Linked DNA regions of Danio rerio. The main gene of each other region encodes a partner of the protein of the gene in region 4 in a complex. Links are inferred from orthologs where the notes say so. Each region holds a gene or a part of one and is shown on either strand. Other genes may lie near its edges. The genes, in order: polr2k, gtf2f1, gtf2e2, gtf2h5 and gtf2a1.

What was found.
Region 1: gtf2h5 (region 4) and polr2k share a complex: the UniProt entries of both Homo sapiens proteins name them as parts of the TBP-based Pol II pre-initiation complex. The link is inferred for Danio rerio from reciprocal best matches to the Homo sapiens genes GTF2H5 and POLR2K.
Region 2: gtf2h5 (region 4) and gtf2f1 share a complex: the UniProt entries of both Homo sapiens proteins name them as parts of the TBP-based Pol II pre-initiation complex. The link is inferred for Danio rerio from reciprocal best matches to the Homo sapiens genes GTF2H5 and GTF2F1.
Region 3: gtf2h5 (region 4) and gtf2e2 share a complex: the UniProt entries of both Homo sapiens proteins name them as parts of the TBP-based Pol II pre-initiation complex. The link is inferred for Danio rerio from reciprocal best matches to the Homo sapiens genes GTF2H5 and GTF2E2.
Region 5: gtf2h5 (region 4) and gtf2a1 share a complex: the UniProt entries of both Homo sapiens proteins name them as parts of the TBP-based Pol II pre-initiation complex. The link is inferred for Danio rerio from reciprocal best matches to the Homo sapiens genes GTF2H5 and GTF2A1.

The regions. Positions count from the first base shown.
Region 1 is NC_133194.1:13,081,118-13,085,179, forward strand, and holds the start of polr2k (DNA-directed RNA polymerases I, II, and III subunit RPABC4), read left to right. Parts: upstream 1-1,251; 5' UTR 1,252-1,331; intron 1,332-1,595; 5' UTR 1,596-1,597; coding exon 1,598-1,658; intron 1,659-1,855; coding exon 1,856-1,948; intron 1,949-4,062. UniProt on the Homo sapiens protein: DNA-dependent RNA polymerase catalyzes the transcription of DNA into RNA using the four ribonucleoside triphosphates as substrates.
Region 2 is NC_133178.1:32,768,059-32,772,239, forward strand, and holds the start of gtf2f1 (general transcription factor IIF subunit 1), read right to left. Parts: upstream 2,812-4,181; 5' UTR 2,502-2,811; coding exon 2,466-2,501; intron 1-2,465. UniProt on the Homo sapiens protein: TFIIF is a general transcription initiation factor that binds to RNA polymerase II and helps to recruit it to the initiation complex in collaboration with TFIIB. It promotes transcription elongation.
Region 3 is NC_133176.1:24,433,563-24,437,794, reverse strand, and holds the start of gtf2e2 (transcription initiation factor IIE subunit beta), read right to left. Parts: upstream 2,810-4,232; 5' UTR 2,669-2,809; intron 1-2,668. UniProt on the Homo sapiens protein: Recruits TFIIH to the initiation complex and stimulates the RNA polymerase II C-terminal domain kinase and DNA-dependent ATPase activities of TFIIH. Both TFIIH and TFIIE are required for promoter clearance by RNA polymerase.
Region 4 is NC_133195.1:28,728,760-28,732,951, reverse strand, and holds gtf2h5 (general transcription factor IIH subunit 5), read left to right. Parts: upstream 1-1,392; 5' UTR 1,393-1,510; exon of another isoform or gene 1,511-1,536; intron 1,537-1,668; 5' UTR 1,669-1,733; coding exon 1,734-1,768; intron 1,769-3,346; coding exon 3,347-3,527; 3' UTR 3,528-3,932; downstream 3,933-4,192. Other genes in the region: protein SERAC1, read left to right, coding at 147-283. UniProt on the Homo sapiens protein: Component of the general transcription and DNA repair factor IIH (TFIIH) core complex, which is involved in general and transcription-coupled nucleotide excision repair (NER) of damaged DNA and, when complexed to CAK, in RNA transcription by RNA polymerase II.
Region 5 is NC_133195.1:17,666,242-17,669,754, forward strand, and holds part of gtf2a1 (transcription initiation factor IIA subunit 1), read right to left. Parts: intron 3,380-3,513; coding exon 3,246-3,379; intron 723-3,245; coding exon 621-722; intron 271-620; coding exon 22-270; intron 1-21. UniProt on the Homo sapiens protein: TFIIA is a component of the transcription machinery of RNA polymerase II and plays an important role in transcriptional activation. TFIIA in a complex with TBP mediates transcriptional activity.

The DNA.
Region 1 (4,062 bases), on a different chromosome or scaffold from region 4:
ATGTACAAAAGCGCTGCTAATAGGAAGTCTTATTTGTTGTTTATTATCTATTGTATAACTGTAATGTTACTGACGGAACCATTTTGATTACAATACAATCATTCTAGACATTCAACATAAAAACAAAACATGAATATCTTTCTGAGATGTCTTTTGGGGATAGTTTCTGAATATTGCTGCCCTCAATAGTTACAATGCATACACCTGTTGATAACTATGGAATATTAAATAATTTAAATATGTTATTACATTTCATAAACCGTTTTAATTACTTGTGCTTACACTTGATTTAGTTATTAATGGCCAACATGTGTCCTGTGGATTTGAATTACCTTCAAATGCAAAGTATATCTATCTTTTGCTCTAAAAATGAACATTAGTTTTAAAAAATCATAATAATATTTAAGGAATTAGCAGTATTTCAGTATTATTGAAACAGTAACAAAACATTTCAGTATATCAAAAAGATAAACAGCTATCAATAATTAGTAACTCTATTAATATGAATAAATGACAATTGGCTGGATCAGCTTGTTCTGACATATACCTTCGTTATAAACACATTATAAATGGGAATGTTGATATGTATTAAACACATTGCCGAGAAACAGAAACTGAAAGGGTGAGGCGGGATTACGACTGCCAGTAAAAAAAAAACACATTACAAACATAAATACTAACAGTGTACAGACTATCTGGTTATACCTATAAAACATATAATAGTATATAATACTGACAGTAAAGTTTTGCAAACTTACCCGAGAGCTGAACGTTTAACGTTACTGGCAGTTTTTGCAGCTGCGACTCACTAACGTTACTTCCTGCTCTGAGACCGTCAACAACACCGACAAATCAAGTGACAATGTACGAAACACATTTCACTCATACAAAAAATCAAATAATAATTATTCATTAATAATAACACATTTCTGTTAGTAAATAAATGTGTTTAGACTGTTTCACAATTTCAGGACAGGTTTAATAACAGCGTTACACATGAATTAATATAAACCATTAGCGTTAAACAAAAAAGTACACAAATAATACGTCTTCATGGTTACGTACGTCTGTCACTAAATGAATGTTTAAAAACGTCGCCGCGAAGTTTTTCTCCGCCATCTGAAATTGCTGGCAGTAATAAAATAAAAGTCCCAGATGAACCTGTAAGTCTCTGCGTAAAATGGTAATGTCCTCCCTCCTGGCGGCGTATGACGAGATTGGTTCAATTCTTGCCAACCAATAGCATTGTTCGTTACTGTGATGTGATGTCGCTTGTGCGCATGCGTGAACGAAAAACGTTTCGAAGCAAACAGAGAGCTCACGCGTGAAAGGTAGCTAATGCTTTGAATGTTTACATTTCGTACTCGTTTGTACACTGATAAATGACAGGATGAATGATATGTGCGGGGTTTTATTGCAATTTTAATATGATGAATTACGTGTCTTGTTGGGTTTATAATGGAAGAACGTGTTTGTGCATAGTGCAGCATCTCTTAAATGTGCTCTTACGATAGGTTTAGGTCAAATAATGTGTAATATTCTAATGAATTTATTCAATTTAGACTATATAATCATGTTTGTGTGTTTGCTTTAAGCCATGGATTCTCAGAAAGACATTCAGCCCCCCAAACAACAGCCAATGATCTACATTTGTGGAGGTGATTGCTCTTTTGATTGTATTTATGTTTATAATCTATATGTATATTGATCTATTAGAAGGTTTATGTATTGATTATATTTTTGTAATCAGTCATTTCTTTCTTAATGCTAAACAATCAAGATGTTCACAATCTAGTCTGTTTTTGAGCTTGAAATTTTGTGTGTGTGTGTGTGTGTGTGTGTGTGTTTGTTTCAGAGTGTCACACAGAAAACGAGATCAAGGCCAGAGACCCCATCAGATGCAGAGAGTGTGGTTACAGGATCATGTACAAAAAGAGGACCAAAAGATGTATCCTTTATCAACTAAACCAATGCTTTGTGGTAGGCCTGGTTGATACGACAAAAAAAGTTGATTAAATTAATTTCACGCTATAATCCTCTCATTTGCTAATAATGAGATATGTCATGATATAGTAACTAGGGATACAACAATACAGTTAGCCTTAGTAAGAGGTTAAGGAGAAAAAACTTATTGCAATACTTCTTTATTTTACTTGATAGCCAAGAAAAGTACACTAGTTTGTAGTTTAATGTATAATAAAAGTAAATTAACTGAAATCTCACAGCTGCTGGTAGCTTATGTACAAACTGGGGAACACGTATATTCCTACATTTTGAAAATACACATACATGTGAAAAATAATTTCAAATAAACATATTTGATGTAATTTTAAGCTCTGGATGTTTATTAGTTTTACATTTTCTAAATGCATATTGTGTCACTGTTTTGGAGCACACTAGCTAATAGGATTGGGCGATGTTGACCAATTTGCCATCATATGATGTATAATGTGAAACAAAGTAATGGACGATAACATCGTTATTGTAGGCGTCAGTGAATTAATTATTAATTCATAACGGATTAATTATTTGTAGCCCATGTTTCAACTACCTGACCCACAAGGTCTTTGTTTTACCCATAACCAAATCAAAAATAAATAAAGTTGCACACAAATTACCACCTTTCAATCACTTTTTCCATTGGACTCTGGCATGAATAGGCCAATAGAGTGATCTGTGTCTTTACAATGACATTGACAAACTTGGTTGGGAAAAAAAGGTGCACAACCAACCAACTGTATCTGAGGTTTTCACTAAAATTACTAAGTATAAGCATGAAAGCGAAACACCGAAGCAGTGTACTGATGCTGTGACACATTACCTGATAGATTCAAAAGACCAAAATGTCTGAAGCTCTGATACGAATGTATACTGCAGGCATAACAGTGTGCATTTTCATCGATATCGAGTGGAAGGAAGGCTTTTCAGAAATGCTAGATGAAACGCCTGTGTGGACGTAGGTCGCTTTTGTTCTAAAATGCCATTTTAAAACTAAGATGTATTAAGGCTGATTTATACTTCTGGGTCAAACACCGGCGTATGCTACGGCGCTGACGCATAGCCCTTCGCCGTGGCCATCGCCGTCACTGACGTGCACCTCTCAAAAAATGTAACTACACATCGCAACAACGCGTAGCGCAAGCTCTGTGATTGGTCGGCTTGGTAGCGCTGACGAGTCTGGGCGGGACCGAGAGCTGCGCGAATGGCGCGACGCCGCGCGAGCGATTGTTTACAAGTGTGGAGTCCCGTGATGGAGCTCCGGATGGAAAGTTTTGTTTTGTGTTTACCTTATAGTTAAAGTTGTTGCACGTCCGCCGGTTCCTGCCTTAAAATGAGCGAGTTTGAGCCACTTGTACATCCCAGAAGTGTTCAGGAAATGCAAAAAAGTAGCGAAGAAACTCAACACAGAGGAACATTTACACCTCACTGCCAACTAGCGTTTCGGAAGTGTTAATGCAAACCGACAGAGACAGCGCGCAGAAGTATAAATGCACAGCCACGCGCGTTGCCTGCGCCGTGGGTTACGCCGGTCACCTGACGCAGAAGTATGAATCAGGCTTTAGTGTAAACGGGGCCTAAGTGTGTATTTTTCACAAACGGATTGCTGCTACGGTGGGGTGGAGGTTAGCGATGCCAGCTCAGCATCGATATGTCTATCGACGATGGCTTCGTCCATCGACCCAACCCTACTAGCTAATAGATATCCTTAAAACTAACATCTAAAAAAAAGTTTAGTTTGAGTTTCACAGGACCTTTAAAAAAAGGCAAACTAATGAAACTGGCCTAGAGAAAATTAAAGGGCGCCAACCTCAGTATATTGACCACATCTCAAGCACTATTTGTTTTTGTTCTTTACATTTTAAAGTATATACTCAGAAATGCGCTCATTCATGTGTGAACATATTTCTTACTTCATTTAGAACTTCAAAGCAAATGTTTTTAGTAAAGATGTAGAAATATGAATAAATTCTTAATAAAATAAAAACACACTTTAAATACCAAATGATTACAACGATTAATCCAACATAATGTAAAAAATATTGCTAAATAAAATGCCAAATG
Region 2 (4,181 bases), on a different chromosome or scaffold from region 4:
TGTCTTATTGTTCTGTTGATTTATTGACACTCATTTAGATTGTATTCCTACTATCTTAAGCGTGTTAAAAATTTTTCCAAACTCAAGAATTGTTTGAAAAGTTAAATGCATGTTTGGCATGCTCTCCTGGGGGGTAGCCCTGAAGGTCCTTGAAACTCTTGTTTAATGGAGAGAAAGTGGATTCTGAGCTCAGATACGTCTCAAGAACTCCCTTAAATTAAGCTAGGAAAGAAGGAAAGAAGTCAGGGAGGATGGGGGATTCTTTAAGGTGAAGATGGCTAAGGTAAGGACATCAGGGGATATTTGTAATAAGGTGCTATAAAGAAAAGTTGATTGATTAATTGATGCAAGGTCTCTGGATGCACACTGTAACAGACTGTGCAATGGGCCCGTAACTGGTCAGTTCCACCCAAAGTGTTTCACCCTAGCTAGGAACCGAATAGACATAAAGGCCAATCAGCCACGGGTTTTACTTTATTTCATAGTAAAGCAAAACGCTTAAAAAATGTATTTTGCAATGTTTTTGGCAACTTAGGATGTGCCCTGTGTCCCACCCAACACTACCTTACAGGACACACCCTAATCCTAACTCTAGGTCCCATATATTTCAAAAGGCCAAAGTGCACAACTAAAATTTTAAATTCACCAAAACAAGGCTGTGAAACACTTAAAGAACATTTGTTTACAAGACTTCTGAGAATTGGATCTTGTGAAAATCATTTTGTTTATTTACTCACAGACAACAATTTATTGAATAAAATTTTCTAAGTCACTTTTTGAGTGAAAATGGTTTATGTAAGAAGGAGTGAACTATCATTACTAAGGCAGTGATTTACACCTGAGAAGACAAAGACCTGCATAATGAGCTGCATAATAAGCCATCAGACAGGTATGTGACTAAGAGGAAAGAGTTTCAAGAAAGAATCTGTGGAAAAAAATAAGTTTATAAAACAATTTTTGTTTGCAGTTTATTTAAAATATTTTTATTAATCACACAGAATAACTGGAGATACACTTGTGAGAGTCAGTTCCTTGTATAAAACTCTGTAAACTTACATTTAGCAAATCTACTGAAAAAGTTACTTATAAATACACTTTATATATAACTTAAGTCATGCACTTGACTTTACACATGAAACATTATGTACAGAAGACACATTCAGGGCAAAATCAACAATGTAAATATAAAGTGTAAGATAATAAAGGGTGTAAAGTTTGTAAATGGCCAGTGAGAGCATCACATGGTCTTAGCTGTGGTCCAGGATCATGTACAGGAAGGAATCTCAGAGCCTGTGGAGCCATGCAGCATCAGTCTCGTTTTTCAATGACTGAGTAGGCAGCTTATTTGCTTTAGCTTTCCTTGTTACTGGTTCTTTACCGCTGTTGTTTTCACATCTAGAAAAATTAAGCAAGCTGATTACATGAACTACATTGTTAACATCTTTGTGATGTTTACTAATACTAGTACTAATTTACCTAATAAACTCGTTACCACATATGAATGATCAACTAAACAGCACCTGTTTTGTAAATAACTGTCAGTATTTTCACAAGCTTAGCATATTTCATATAACATACATTTTTTTTACATAGGCCTATGTTTATCATTATATGCTATATATGTTATAGGATACAATTTGTACAGCAATAAAATTATAAGTAGCCTGTAAAGACATGTTTCATGTAAATCATGAAGGTAAGAATTAAAAGACTTACTCCACAGGGATTCTATCCTCCACTGGGTCTATATGTTCTTCAAAATGTATGCATTCGTCAGAGTCATGCTCTTCTTCTGAGGAGAACGTAAATTCTTCGTTGCTGTCTAGTACCATCAAAAGTGCTTCTTCACTCGTGTAGCGTGCCATCGCTCAAAAGCGCAGAAAAAGTAAGTAACTCTATGAGGAAGCTTGTCGGTGTGTAAAATATTACCTGGCTCACCTCAGTTCATCTCCATATAAACACCGCGCTCAATGAGAGGCGGGATCATGTTAGCTGTAATGAGGCGATACCGGAGACACACTATAACAGACTGTTATAGTGTCTGTAACTGGTCAGTTCCACCCAGAGTGTTTCACCCTAGCTAGGAAGCGAATAGACACAAAGGCCAATCAGCCACGTGTTTTAATTTATTCCATAGTTAAGCAAAAGCACTTTAAAACTATTTTGCATTTTTTTGGCAACTTAGAATGTGTCCTGTGTCCCACCCACCACTACCTTACAGGACACACCCTGATCCTAACTATAGGCTTTTACCTGGGGTGAACAGACAGCAAGATATATTCCAGAAGTGGATAATTCAATTAAATTCAAGGAAATGATTGATTGATTGATTGATTGATTGATAGATTGATTGATTGATTTATTGATTTATTGATTGATTGATTGATTGATGCAAGGTCTCTGGATGCACACTATAACTGACTGTACAATGGGCCCGTAACCGTGAAGAGTGTGTCTAGACCTACCTGTTTGTGATTTGTTGTCTTGCTTGTCGCCTTCATGTTTCCTCACGGATGCACATGAAGCATTCACATGCTCTTTGTTTTGATAGTTCACCATGTGCTCCGCTATCAGCATATCCTTTTCCCCGCCTCCTTGTTATACTAGTTATTCCCTTATTTAGCAATTATTGTCACCTGTAGCTCCTTGATTTTCTCCTCTATTTAATTCCCGCTTACCTACTTGTCTTTGTCAGACAGTCTTGCGTGTTTTGCTAGCTCACTCCTATTGGTGTCATTGTTTGTGGCACTCGGACTCCACCGCCTGCCGACATCCGCCCACCGGCATCTACTCAGCTTCCTGCTTCTCTGCACACGAGGCCTGGAGACTCGCCATTTCCATGAGTTCGATCAAGTGAGAAACGCAGTGACCCAGCAGGGCATTCTTCGAGGACAACAGGCAAACTCAATTAACTGCCACTTCTCAAGAAGTTGAGTTTCTGACGGCTCAGGTTGCGGCACTCAATGCTCTAGTCCAGGACCTACAGCTAAATATCAGAGCTGGTAGGCAGGCAGCCTTTCCTCTCCACCTGGATCATGAGCCGCACGGTAATTGTCCACCACCATTTGACGGGGACCACAGCTCCTGTCTGTCTTTCTTGTCTCAGAGTTCGCTGGTCTTTGCTCTTTAGCCACGCCGTTACGCCACTGAGGAGTCCAGAGTGGCATTTGTTATTACCCTTCTTAAGGGCAGGGCTCGAGACTGGGCCACCGCTGTGTGGGATACACAGGCCCCCTTTTGTGCCATTTTTGATGACTTCCGTGATGAAATGACCAAGCTGTTTGATCGGTCAGCTCAGGGGGATGAGGCAGATTCTCTTTTGGCCCAGCTAAGCCAGAACGGGTGTTCAGTGACCGACTACTCCGTTCAATTCAGGAGCCTAGCAGCGGCCTGCGCTTGGAATGAAACAGCTCTTCGAGCGAGGTTTTGGGATGGTCTGGATGATTAGATCCAGGACAAAATCGCCACCCACGATCACCCACATGACTTCGACGCCCTGGTTGACCTTGCTCTTCTTGTTGAGGGCCGCCTCCTTCGCCGTCAACATCGGCGGGCGACCCATTCCTCCTGGAGGGCTGAGGAGGGTTTTTCAAGCTTGCTCCACACTCCTCTACCCATTCCTGATCAGGAGCCGATGCAGGTGGGGCATCTGCAACTAACCGCACAGGAGAAATGACATTGGTTGGTTAGGGGCTTGTGCCTGTACTGTGGGAAACCAGGTCATCAGGCTGTCCAGTGCCCGTTAAAAGCCCCGACACCAGTAGTATGGGGGATTCTGGTGGGCACAATCCCTTGCTCTGACACCCACACATATCATACCTCACTGCCAGCCTCTCTACAATGTGGAGATGTCGTCCATTCGTGCTCTGCCATGATCGACTCCAGAGCCGAGGGCAACTTTTTAGACAGCACCACCAATGAGTCCTGGGGCATTCTTGCTATCCCTCATTCCTCTCCTATCACTGTCCGCTCCCTGAATGGTCTTACCATCACCTCCATCACCCATTCTACTCCTTCTGTAAGTTTAATTATTTCTGGAAATCCCCGTGAGGATATTAATTTATACTTAATTGACTCCCCGAGTGCTCCTGTAGTATTGGGGCACCCATGTGTGGTGTTTTGTATAGATTTGTAAATGAATATCAGCCGGACAACTCTGCTTAGCTCCACACTACTTCACT
Region 3 (4,232 bases), on a different chromosome or scaffold from region 4:
TCATTTTAAAGGAAACACTTTAAAAGTGTTTAAAATAACTGTAATAAATGTTTTCTGTGTTATAATAAACACCTAAAAAAAAAAAAAAATTTGCTTTTTGTATTTTTTTTATAAACTCAAATTTGAAAGTGTACCTTTTAGGTTCTGTGTGGTCTAGGTTGCAGTAAATTAATTTTGGTGGTTCCTGCACATGTCTGTAATCATGGAAAAAAAGAAAAATGTCTCTCTTTACCATAATCTATGAAAAAGTTATTGTATTCCAACTGATGAGAGGTGCTATACAAGCCACAGGGATCGATCATTGTATTCATATTTCTCTATTCTTCTGTTTGATCAAACATAATTCACTGTGTTTGGACCACGTCGGACATATAAAAGGATTACTTATGCACATCACCTCAAAAACAGAGGAGAAAGGCCCTAAAAAGCATAAGGTAAGAGATGACCGCTGTCTGTGCTATCTGGAGCTGCTTATTGATCATGAATGTATTGTTTTCACTTCTGGGCCATGGAAATACCGCGATTTATTCGAAAACTGTTTGATGTGAATATAATTCACTAAAAAGAACGCTATAACCTCATGAGCACGGACAAGAGATTTAATTTGAGCTATAACTTGTACCTGTGTCATATATGAATCTTGTGAAAAATATGAAATTGAACCAATGTTTAAGGCAAGGCAAGTTTATTTATATAGCACATTTCATACACAATGGCAATTCAAAGTGCTTTACATAAACAAGAATAAAAGAAACAAGTAAAATAAAAATAAAAATAAAAACAAATAATAAAACTGATTAAAAAACATAAAAACAGGTAAAATGTGATATAAAAGAATGAAGAAGAAGAGAAAAACATGATCTGTGTCCGACAGTGCAATCTGTCGGACGCAGCACAGTGCTCATTCAGTAAAGGCACAGCTAAACAGATGTGTTTTCAGTCTTGATTTGAATGTGCCTAATGTTGGAGCACATCTGATCATTTCTGGAAGCTGATTCCAGCAGCGAGGGGCATAGTGGCTAAAAGCCGATTCACCCTGCTTTGACTGAACTCTTGGAACTTCTAGTTTATATGATCCTAATGATCTGAGTGATCTGTTAGGTTTGTATTCAGTGAGCATATCTGTGATGTATTTAGGTCCTAGGCCATTTAGTGATTTATAGACCAGTAATAATACTTTAAACTCTATTCTGAATGTAACTGGCAGCCAGTGTAGAGACCTGAGGACAGGTGTGATGTGCTCTGATTTCCTGGTTCTGGTTAGAATTCTGGCTGCAGCGTTCTGGATGAGCTGCAACTGTCTGACTGTCTTTTTAGGAAGACCAGTGAGGAGTCCATTACAGTAATCCACCCTGCTGCTGATAAAAGCATGAACAAGTTTCTCTAAGTCTTCACTAGAAACAAAGCATCTGATTCTTGCTATGTTTTTGAGATGATATTAAGTGTAAATAACTTTTTTACAGTAGAATAAAAACCAAAGTGATGCATATGTGCATAAAATATAGCTTCTACACTTTCAAACAAAACCACTTTCCATGGAATTTAACTGGTTAAACTGTCACTAAATGCACTACAGAATGTTATGTTTTCTCACACACACACACACACACATTTACAAATTACATGTACCGGTAAATACATCAGCTTTTAACAGCGTAATACTCACTACTCTTGAGGACATTTAAAAGGACTACTTTTTACTCATATTTAATATTTACAACAGATATTTTTACTCTACTTGCACTACATTTCTTTGGTCAAGTAATGATACTTTTACTTGAGTATATTTTTTCAGTAGTCTTTCCACCACTGATGAAACCTAAGAAAACAAAACCACGAATGAGTGCTCAATTAAACAATAACTTTTAAATGAACATATTATATAGCCACAGCATATATATTAAGGTAAACTTGGTTTTATATTTACACATTCATTCAGTGGCAATTTGTGACACACTCCCTACATTGTTTACCACGGCACCTTGAATATTCAGTCTGAAATAAACTGCAAGTGTAATTTGAAAACTTGAACACTGTTTATTTGACTGTGAACATGTACTTTGATAATCATTGGCTGCTAATATGATTTCGCTATTTAGAGTTTGCAAATAGTACTTTTATGAAATTATATTAAGGAGGAAGTCCGAATGTGCGAATAAAAAACCGACTTTACCTCTATAGCACGTGATATGTTCCTTATATTTCTTAATCATTACTATTATTAACTTCTATAGATTACAGTAAATGATTATGTGATCAGTTTTCCCCCCATGTATGTTTAGATAACAGGGGCTGCTATTAATTCAGTCTCCACTAATAAATGTAACACTTTTCAAAGATTTTAAGGACATTTGGTGTTTCATTTATAGACACACATATAGACAGATGTTAATTTTATTCCTCATATTTAACTTAGATATTAAAGCACATTGCTCATGTTGAGATCTATGAGGTCAGTTGGAGGTTTAGCCTCGTCTAACATACTGAGATTTATAAGCCTACTTATTGACAGCTAATACTTCCATAGTGAACTGCACAGTGAACATCTAACACCTAGAAACTTAACTAATCGTCTAAAATCACAAATGGTATCAACTGGAAACATCCTAAACACATCAAACATGAAGCAATACATCCACAAAGAAAGAAACTGTGAGCATTACGTTACCTGAATCTGTCACTGCCTTCTCTCTCCGAGAGAAAGAGTTTTGAGGAATGTTAAATATTATTTCCAATTATCATACGCAATCAGCTTACTGACAAAGCAAAATGAAAAGCTTGTCATAGAACGCTAGCTATGCTATACAACTACATGTATTTCCTCCGGAAGACAAGTGTTCTTCTTCTTTGTTTGTAGTCGCGCAGTTTGCAAAGACGACCTTTGCCACCTGCTGGTCAGAAATCGTTTTACATGTGTTGCGATGTTCCCATTTATATTTATTAGCATTAATGGATTATTTTCAAACATTAATCTCGAAAAACATTATTTTTAAAAAAAGGTAAGTCTATTTTAAGCTTATACCCATACGCAACCCATCCTAATACAATTATGTGTGCTCTTCTCATCTTTTCCAGTAGGAGGCGCATGTTCTGATTTCTTTGCATAACACGGTCTCGTGCTCGTGAAGACAGAATGGCAGCTACAGATGCACAGAAAGTGATTGTTTACGGGGGAAAAGGAGCTCTGGGCTCGGCATGTGTGCAGTATTTCAAAGCTAAACACTGGGTAAGTTGTATAAACCCAGAAGACAAGACACATTATTGAAAATAACTATTTCCCCCCCTTTCAGTGTCATCAGACACGCTTCACGTGTTTTAGTAGTACTATTAATAATTAATTTACTCAAAACAATGTTATGTGTTTCTCATTAACTATATCGATTCATGCATTTCTTCTGGCCTGTAATATGTCAATAAGGAACATGTTTGTGTTTGTGGTTTTCAGTGGGTTGCCTCTATTGATCTCAGTGCCAATGAAGAAGCCAATGCCAATGTTACAGTTAAAATGACTGAGTCCTTCACTGAGCAAGCCAACCAGGTAAGAAGGAAATTATTTCCGATGACAGTCAAGCTTGTCAGGGTCAAAAATTATTACAAGGCTCAGGAAGATTCATTTTCCTAGATGTTCTTGCAGCAAGGGACTAATACAGAAGAAATACAGGTTCCATCCTGGTTGCTCAGAGAGCAGTCTTACAGGGCCAGTTTTTATACAGGCATACAAACAGATGATGAATCATTGTCTTTCATTCTTGTAAAAAAAAAAAAAAAACAATCTGTTTGGTAGAATTCAATTGATCATATACTCAACTTTTTGTCAGCACATTATTCCTGCAACTAGCACATTCCAACAATTTAACTCTTTAAAAACTAAAATTGAATATGTAATTATATCAAGAAGCGCATAAATGTATAACATTAACTTTTGGTTTCTTTAAAAGTATAATGTATTAATATAATATATGAAAATCAATCAAATAAATTTATCTAACAAGCTTATTTTAAGCAATTCCAGTGTCATGGGTTCAATTCCCAGGTAGTTTAACTGACATAAAAAAGTTTGTTCATTGCATCAATTTTGGTTGTTTAGCATAAAAGCATGGATATATATCCACGGGTTCATTTTATATTAGTTAAAGTCAGAATTATTAGCCATTATAAATATAATATATACATATAATTTTTTATCTAATAGACCCTTTTGGGTTCACAGTCTATTATTTGTTACAGAGGAA
Region 4 (4,192 bases):
ATTGAAACCTACAAGTAAGTGTGTTGAAGCAGGTTTGGAACTAAACTGTGCAGAGCAGCTCGGGGAATTGAGTTCGACACCCCTGGTTTATAATGATTGTTAGTTTTAGGTACCTGGTATCACGGTTTCCTCTTTTGCTCTTTCAGATCTGGGTATTGGAGACCTCATCCAGGTGGACGTTGATCACCTCAACATCTGCAAGCCAGAAAAGAAGGACACGTTTCTTTATAAGCGTACTTTACAGTTTATTCAGGATGCTCTTGGGGGACGTAGAATTAAGTGAAAGTCTTTACAGTTTCAATTGCTTTCTTAAGGATTTAAGCATCACTTTTTAAAAGATAGTGTTATCTATGACTGCCATGAAGGAAGGAAGTTTTACAATTGCAACTGGAGCTTTTTGGACATCTAAACTGTAATGTCCTGTACATTTGAAATACCACTGACATTTCACTTGTATTGTTATTATTATTTATGCTTGCCATATGAATATGTATTATGGTAAAATCCTTGTTTAACTTTTAATGTTTTACCCCTTCAAAGCCTTGTACTGTATATCATTTCAGAGTAATTTGAATGAGCACTTGTTAGCATTTATTTTAACTAGACATAACAAAAAAAAGGATTATCAAACTTAGTATGTTTACTACATCACTGCACATTTTTAAACTCAGTTTTATTTATAATATTTATTCTACTTGAACAAAATAGACATGCTAATGAAACCTTGCCTTGTTTTTTTTGGTTCACCAGCTTTCTTTCTACTACCTCAGACACACAAGTACTGATGTTGCTGTAATTGCCAATACATTTGTACTAATTCACTGACCACAGTACTTTATTTTGCCAAATCTTTGTCATGTGAATAAAGTTTTGAATCCAAACTTTCCTCTCCAAGAATAAACACTTTCACTGTAAAGCAGGGCAACACCGTGGCTTGTCCTGGATGGGTAAGTTGCCATTTCTGTATGGAGTTTGCATGTCCTCCCCGTGTTGGCATTGGGTTTCCGGGTGCTCCGGTTTCCCCAACAGTCCAAACTGCAAAGACATGCTCTATAGGTGAATAGTATATGAGTGTGAATGGATGTTTCCCAGTTAGGTTGCAGCTGGAAGAGTATCCGCTGTGTAAAACATATGCTGGAGAAGTGGGCCCTGATGAATAGAGGTACTAAGCCGAAGGGAAATGAACGAATGCACAGTAGCGGTATTGTAATGCAAATGAGTACTCTAATCTCTATGACACACTATTGTAACCGTTAAATAAAAAGGGATTAGTATTCGCAATTCAAAACAGATATGTCCCAAATAATCAAAGTCTTCAGGATTGCGAGAAACTTCCAGGTGGGTGTTGTACTTTTCTGTCAGGGTATGAGAGCAGTCAAATAGGATCTGAACTGCGCTCCAAGCCAGCAGAGGGTAGTGGAGTTGACTGGTCCAATACTAGTCGGTGAGTAGAGGAAAACCATTGTTTCTAAACGCTAAATAGTTTTCTGACACCAGTCACTGCAACAAAGTAAAGTGGCAAAAGACAATAAGAATGTTAGTGTGTATGTTTTAACGCTGTCTTTAAAGTATAGGTTTAAGAGCTGTAAACAAAATGTAAAATATTTGTAAGGACTAACGTCATTCATGGTGGACGGCTTTGTTGCTATTTCGTTTTCTCTCATACAGAGCTTTTACTGTACCTTTACTGAAGCAGCAGTAAGTTACGTTAGTGTTAACACACCCCGTCCAAAATGGTCAACGTGTTGAAAGGAGTTCTCGTTGAATGGTAAGTTTTACATACCACTGCCATTTAAAGCTGCACTGGTCATTTTACCTCAATACAACATTTAAACGAGAATCCAACGGTGGGTTTATTTAAGAAATGTGTTAAATCTAATGTGCTTACACACAATGTGGATTCATATCCGATTAGTAGAAAATAGGGCTGCACAATATATCGTTTCAGCATCGATATCGCAATGTGATCACAATGTTGAGTCTGGATTATAATTAATCATTTTGCTATAATGATTCGTTTTATTGACTTGTTTATAAAAAACAAAGACTATGCAGTATTATTTTACATCTGATTATTTAATTCATGTGTACCTGAATACATTTAGACTCTTCAGAAAGCAATAAAATGCTGTTTATTTAATTAGCAATTTTTTCTTTATTGAATTCATCTATGCTTGTAGGTTGCTTGTTATATGTTATGAATCATCCCAATCCGTCTAAAATTATAAATTATTTACAAACCGTTTTTTAACTAATCTGGTGAAATTGTATTCATATTGCAGTGTATATCACGGAATAAAAATTATTGCAATGTATATTTTTTCCAATATTGTGCAGCCCTAGTAGAAAAGTACTTTTATTTTACATTTTTACGCCACTAAAGCAATGTTGCTGAACAACTGTTCACTAACGTAAACGTTACTTGCGAGAATATAATTACAGTCGACAGATGGTTAACATTTATTCACTGTTAAACGGCAAAAATCAGTTCAAAGCATTTGAAAAATGTGGAGAAAATATTAAAAAGTCTTTATTCACATGGCTAATCTTTAAAAAACCTACGCGTTTCGGAAAAGAACAGTTCTTTGTTTTATAAAGGCAAAAAACTGTAGTTTTTTTATGTGAATAAAGGCTTTTTAAAATTTTTTCCATATTTTTCGAGTGCTTTGGATGGATTTTTGCTGTTCATTTTGATGAATCCCTTACCCAAAGAGCACCGATTATATAAGCTACCCCTGAGCACGTTTTGTTAGATTTTGGATTTATTCACTGTTACCTGTAACTAAAAACTTTTTCTTTACCACGAGGCAACATCCTTAGCACGGTATCGGATCAGTTAAACTTTCAAATTGTGCAGTATTTGTGAACTTAATTCTGTTTATTGTCACAATTTCGATGGTTTACTTCCTGAGAAGCAACTGAAAATAATTGAGGTAAAGTTATTTTTTTATATTTGTTCATTTTAAAGCTCTCTATATCGTTTACCACGCTAATTTGAATATGGGGTCTGAAATTTAATTTAAGTATGACTTCAAAACAACATTAGCACGATTTAACTGACAGTGAACAATGTTGTACTTTGATAGTTATTGGCTGCTTATATGATTTTCCTATTTAGAATTTGTAAAGAATACTTTTCTGAAATTATATTATAAGGAGAAAATCTGAATATGCAGGATATAAAACCCACTTTACCTCAATCTGAAAAAAGCCAGATGTCAATAACATCAAATACAGGCTTGACAAACCTCTATTCTTAGTGCACCTTTAAAATAAAAGTCATGCTCTAGTAGTAGTGCACCTTCATATATAATTCTCTCTCTTTTTTTTTTTAAATGTGACCCAGTGATCCAGCTATGAAGCAGTTTCTACTATATCTGGATGAGACGTCAGCTTTGGGGAAGAAATTCATCATCCAGGATTTGGACGACACGCATGTTTTCATCTTAGCTGAAGTTGTGCAGATTCTCCAGGAGCGAGTAGGAGAACTGATGGACCAGAATTCATTTCCCATCACCCAGAAATAAACATCTGAACCTTGACAGCAAGACCCTTCAGTCTGTGGGAGCAGATGGATGTGGAGATTCTTTCAGCACAATTGCACAAACACAGATGAAGCTGAAATATAGAGACGATGACTGCCTACAGGGATGATGATGTGTATTCTCTTTGGTTTAGTTTGACTGCAAAGTTCTTTTATCTGAAAAAAGTATAACTTTAAACTGTTTATGTTTTTAAAGACATATGTTTAAAAGACAGAGGCTGTCCTGTGTTTTGAAAGTATTGTTTTACATGCAAGATGGCATTGCCTACAAATAGTTATGTTTTACTGAAAGTATATGTCATACTGAATGCAGACGGGTGATGTCTGTGATTTAACTTCATGCATAATATGCTTAGTGTCAAATAAACAGAAGAATTCAACTAAAGTATTTAATGTGTTCTTATTCATTTGTCTCCTCAAAACATAGGATTTAATTTGATCTACTCTGTGGTATTGCCAGTTTGTGTAGGTTTAGGTTCCCTTCCTGTTTATGTTCTACAACACCAATACAAGCCTTCAATATTTGATCCTGAAACTGGTAAAAAGATTTTACCTTGTGGTGAAGGGAAAATTAAAAGAGTGAACTGCATTCGATTTGAAAAATATCCAGCATGTCTTAAAGAGGAAGTAAAAGTGGTGTGATGCACT
Region 5 (3,513 bases), about 11 Mb from region 4:
TGGAAATGCGGCTATTCACACCTCCTCCACTTGGCCGTCCTCTCCGCCGTCTTTCTCCTTGTCTTCATCCTCATCTTCATCATACTCGTCCTCCTCCTCTTCATCCTCCTCTGAGGACGTGTCTCCTGCGCCGTCTACCTGGAGCATCATAGGAGGTTGTTGCGAGGCCTGCTGCTGCTGTTGTTGTTGTTGCTGCTGCGCTTGTGGTTGAGTTTGCACCTGTGCATCTCCCGGTCCCGACTGCACTGCCATCGCTGCCGCCTGCATGACCTAAACAAGCACACACGATTCAATTCAAATTGAAGTTGATTTGTATAGCGACATTCACAATAATATTTTTTCAAAGCAGCTTCGCAAAAGGTGTACATTACTGCATTACAGTCAGAAAAATAAAGGTTATTAGTTACCTTATAAGTTACTAATCACTAATTGATTAGTAACTAAAAGCTTTTAACAGTGAAACTTATTATATTATAAACCTGTTAATTATTATATATCTAAACCGCAGTTATATAGGATATAGGTGATGCCTGTGTACATGTTCAATGAAATGTATTTGTGAGACATCAATTTCACAGACATCACAGAGATTTTAGTTTAAGGTGAGAGCTTGTGCTGACCTGAGTGTTCTGCGGTACTTTATTCCCCGTGAGGACGATCTGCTGCGGCTGGATGATGACTCCGGTTTGCTGAGGAAGACCTCCTTGAAGAGGAGTCAACACCTGCATCAATACACAGAGAGAGAGACACTTAATACACTCCTGTTCTCATAAACCGAGGTGTAGGAGAACAAGTCTAATCATTTAAACTAAAAGACCACTTGAAATACTTTGTTTCTCTGATTTATGCCTTTAAACGGACAGTTCACTCAAAAATGTAACTTTGCTCAATATTTACTAATACACAAGTGGTTCCAAACCTTTGAGTTTCGGCTGATATTTTGAAGAATGATGAAAAACTGACTTCCATAGTAGGAAAAACATTCTATTGAAGTCGATGGTTACAGGTTTTCAGCATTCTTCAAAATATCTTCTTTTGTGTTTTAACAGAAGAAAGAAGCTCATGAACAAGCAGAGGGTGAATAAATTGATCATTTACATTTTGGTAAAAATATAGCTTTAAGTTTTGTTTAAATATGGAGTATTTCTTTTTTAATTCTTTAAACTACTGATGGCATTTCGTACAGATTTAAAATAATGTTCTTTACTGCATACCCCACCCTAATAAATAAAACATGCAGTGTTTTCAGAAGTTATATACATTAATCATTTTTAAACAACATATTTTGCTATCATATTTGGTGGAAAAACCCCCAAGTTTCAAGCATAACAAATAAAAGCATTTGTTATTGACTAATTGTCATCGTCTAAAGCAAGGGTGCCCAAACCTTTTTCTAATGTAGGGCAAAAAAGGCTAATTTGAGTGAGGCTAGTGCACAGGTGTCAAACTCAGTTCCAAAAGGGCCGCAGCTCTGCACAGTTTAGTTCCAACCCTAATTAAACACACCTGATCAAACTAATTGAGTCCTTCAGGCTTGTTTGAAACCTACAGGTAAGCGTGTTGTAACAGGGTTGGAACTAAACTGTGCAGGGCTTCGGCCTTCCAGGAATTGAGTTTGACACCTCTGGGCTAGTGGGTCGAAGGTAAATATAGTTGTCATGAGTAAATTCCTAATTTATTTATTAATATTTAAAAATGACTAGAAAACATTGCTTTTTATTAACTAACAGTTTATTGTTAGAATTTATAAAAAATTTATTAGAATGTTGTATCAATAGTGAATAGTGTATCAGATCTTTATTAAACAAAGTAAGACTAGTTGTCTCTTCTCTACATCGGTTCTCCTCCTGCGAAGCATTCACTATTATTTCTGTTATTTCCTTTTTCAAACCGACTAAGAGAGCTGACAGGCATATAACATTGGCTAGCTAAAGACCACTGCTGACACGGGGAAACAAAACCCCACTGGTCACATGCTGTCACAGTAAACCCTGCAGCCTCCAGTGACTGAACTAGAAGTGAGTACAGCACAGGCTCATTAGAAATATGTGCCTTAGCCTACATTCCTGCCAAACAAACGTTGTTGCTCTGCATACATTTCATTGCACGTTTCAGATGACAAATACACTAGAGGGCGCTGTCTACACTTTGGGGAATCAGATAGACATTAATTAGGGCCCGTTTTGTTGTACATTTCAGTTAAACATCTTTCTTAAATAACACTAACCTAAACTCCTCCCTAATCCTAGATAATAGTTTCAAAAGTAAATGTAAGAACAACAAGTGCTGTTTTACCTTGATTTTACATTGCTTTATTCTGTCAAAAGTGTAATAAAAATAAGTGCTGTTTACCTTGATTTTGCATTGCTTTAATCTTTATTTGTCATGTGTAATAACAATAAGTGCTGTTTACCTTGATTTTACATTGCTTTAATCTTTGTCAAAGGTGAAAAAATAAGTGCTATTTATCTTGATTTTATATTACTTTAATCTTTTATTTGTCAAAAGTAGAGCAATAAGTGATGTTTACCTTGATTTTACATTGCTTTATTCTTTTACAAAAGTGTAATAAAAATAAGTGCTGGTTACCTTGATTTTGCATTGCTTTAATATTTTTTTGTCAAAAGTGTAATAACAATAAGTGATGCTTACCTTAATTTTACATTGTTTTAATCTTTTATTTGTCAAAAGCAGAGCAATAAGAGATGTTTACCTTGATTTTACATTGCTTTAATCCTTTATTTGTCAAAAGTAAATGTAAGAATAAGTGCCGTTTGCCTTGATTTTACATCGCTCTAATCTTTTTTGTGAAACAGTGCTTTACAGAACTCCTTGCATACACTACTGTACAAAGTGAGTTTCCAAGCAAACTGACCACACCAGAAAAGTTTTATACATATAGTTAAACAGGCGAGGCAAACATTTTTGATTATTAAAATCATAGACATTAAGTGGCTTTGTGGTATTTATTTGGTGTGTGCAAAAAATGCATACAAGTAATCCTTTATTCACTGACAATCGGTCCATAAATACCATTAGGGTGAAAAGGAAGTAAAGTTTTTGCAGTCTTACTGCCCTGTAGTGATCTTGTCACCAAGAATTTTTGATCAAACGGATGTTTGAGGACATTTTTGTGGTTTCTCAAAAATGAAGGATAAAACTTTCATTTCCAAGGAGCCTGTGTTGAGCAAGTCAAAGATTGATGAGAAAGTGAGTGTAGTGTTTGTGCAGAATAAAGCACAGACCTGCTGTATGACGGGGGCCTGAACACCCCCAGGCTGCATCTGCGGCAGAACCTGCTGCTGTAAAAGCATCTGCTGCTGAGGCTGAATGATGTACTGAGCTCCATTGGCAGCTCTGACCACCTGCAGGATCTGACCTGTAAAGCCACCAGACACATGCTTTTGTTAGGACAAATCTGTATTTATAGTGTTAACATGCAGTTAAAGATGGAAGGAAAAGGAAGGCATGTTGGACAGAATGTTGAAGACCTCTATTCATTGACTTCTATAG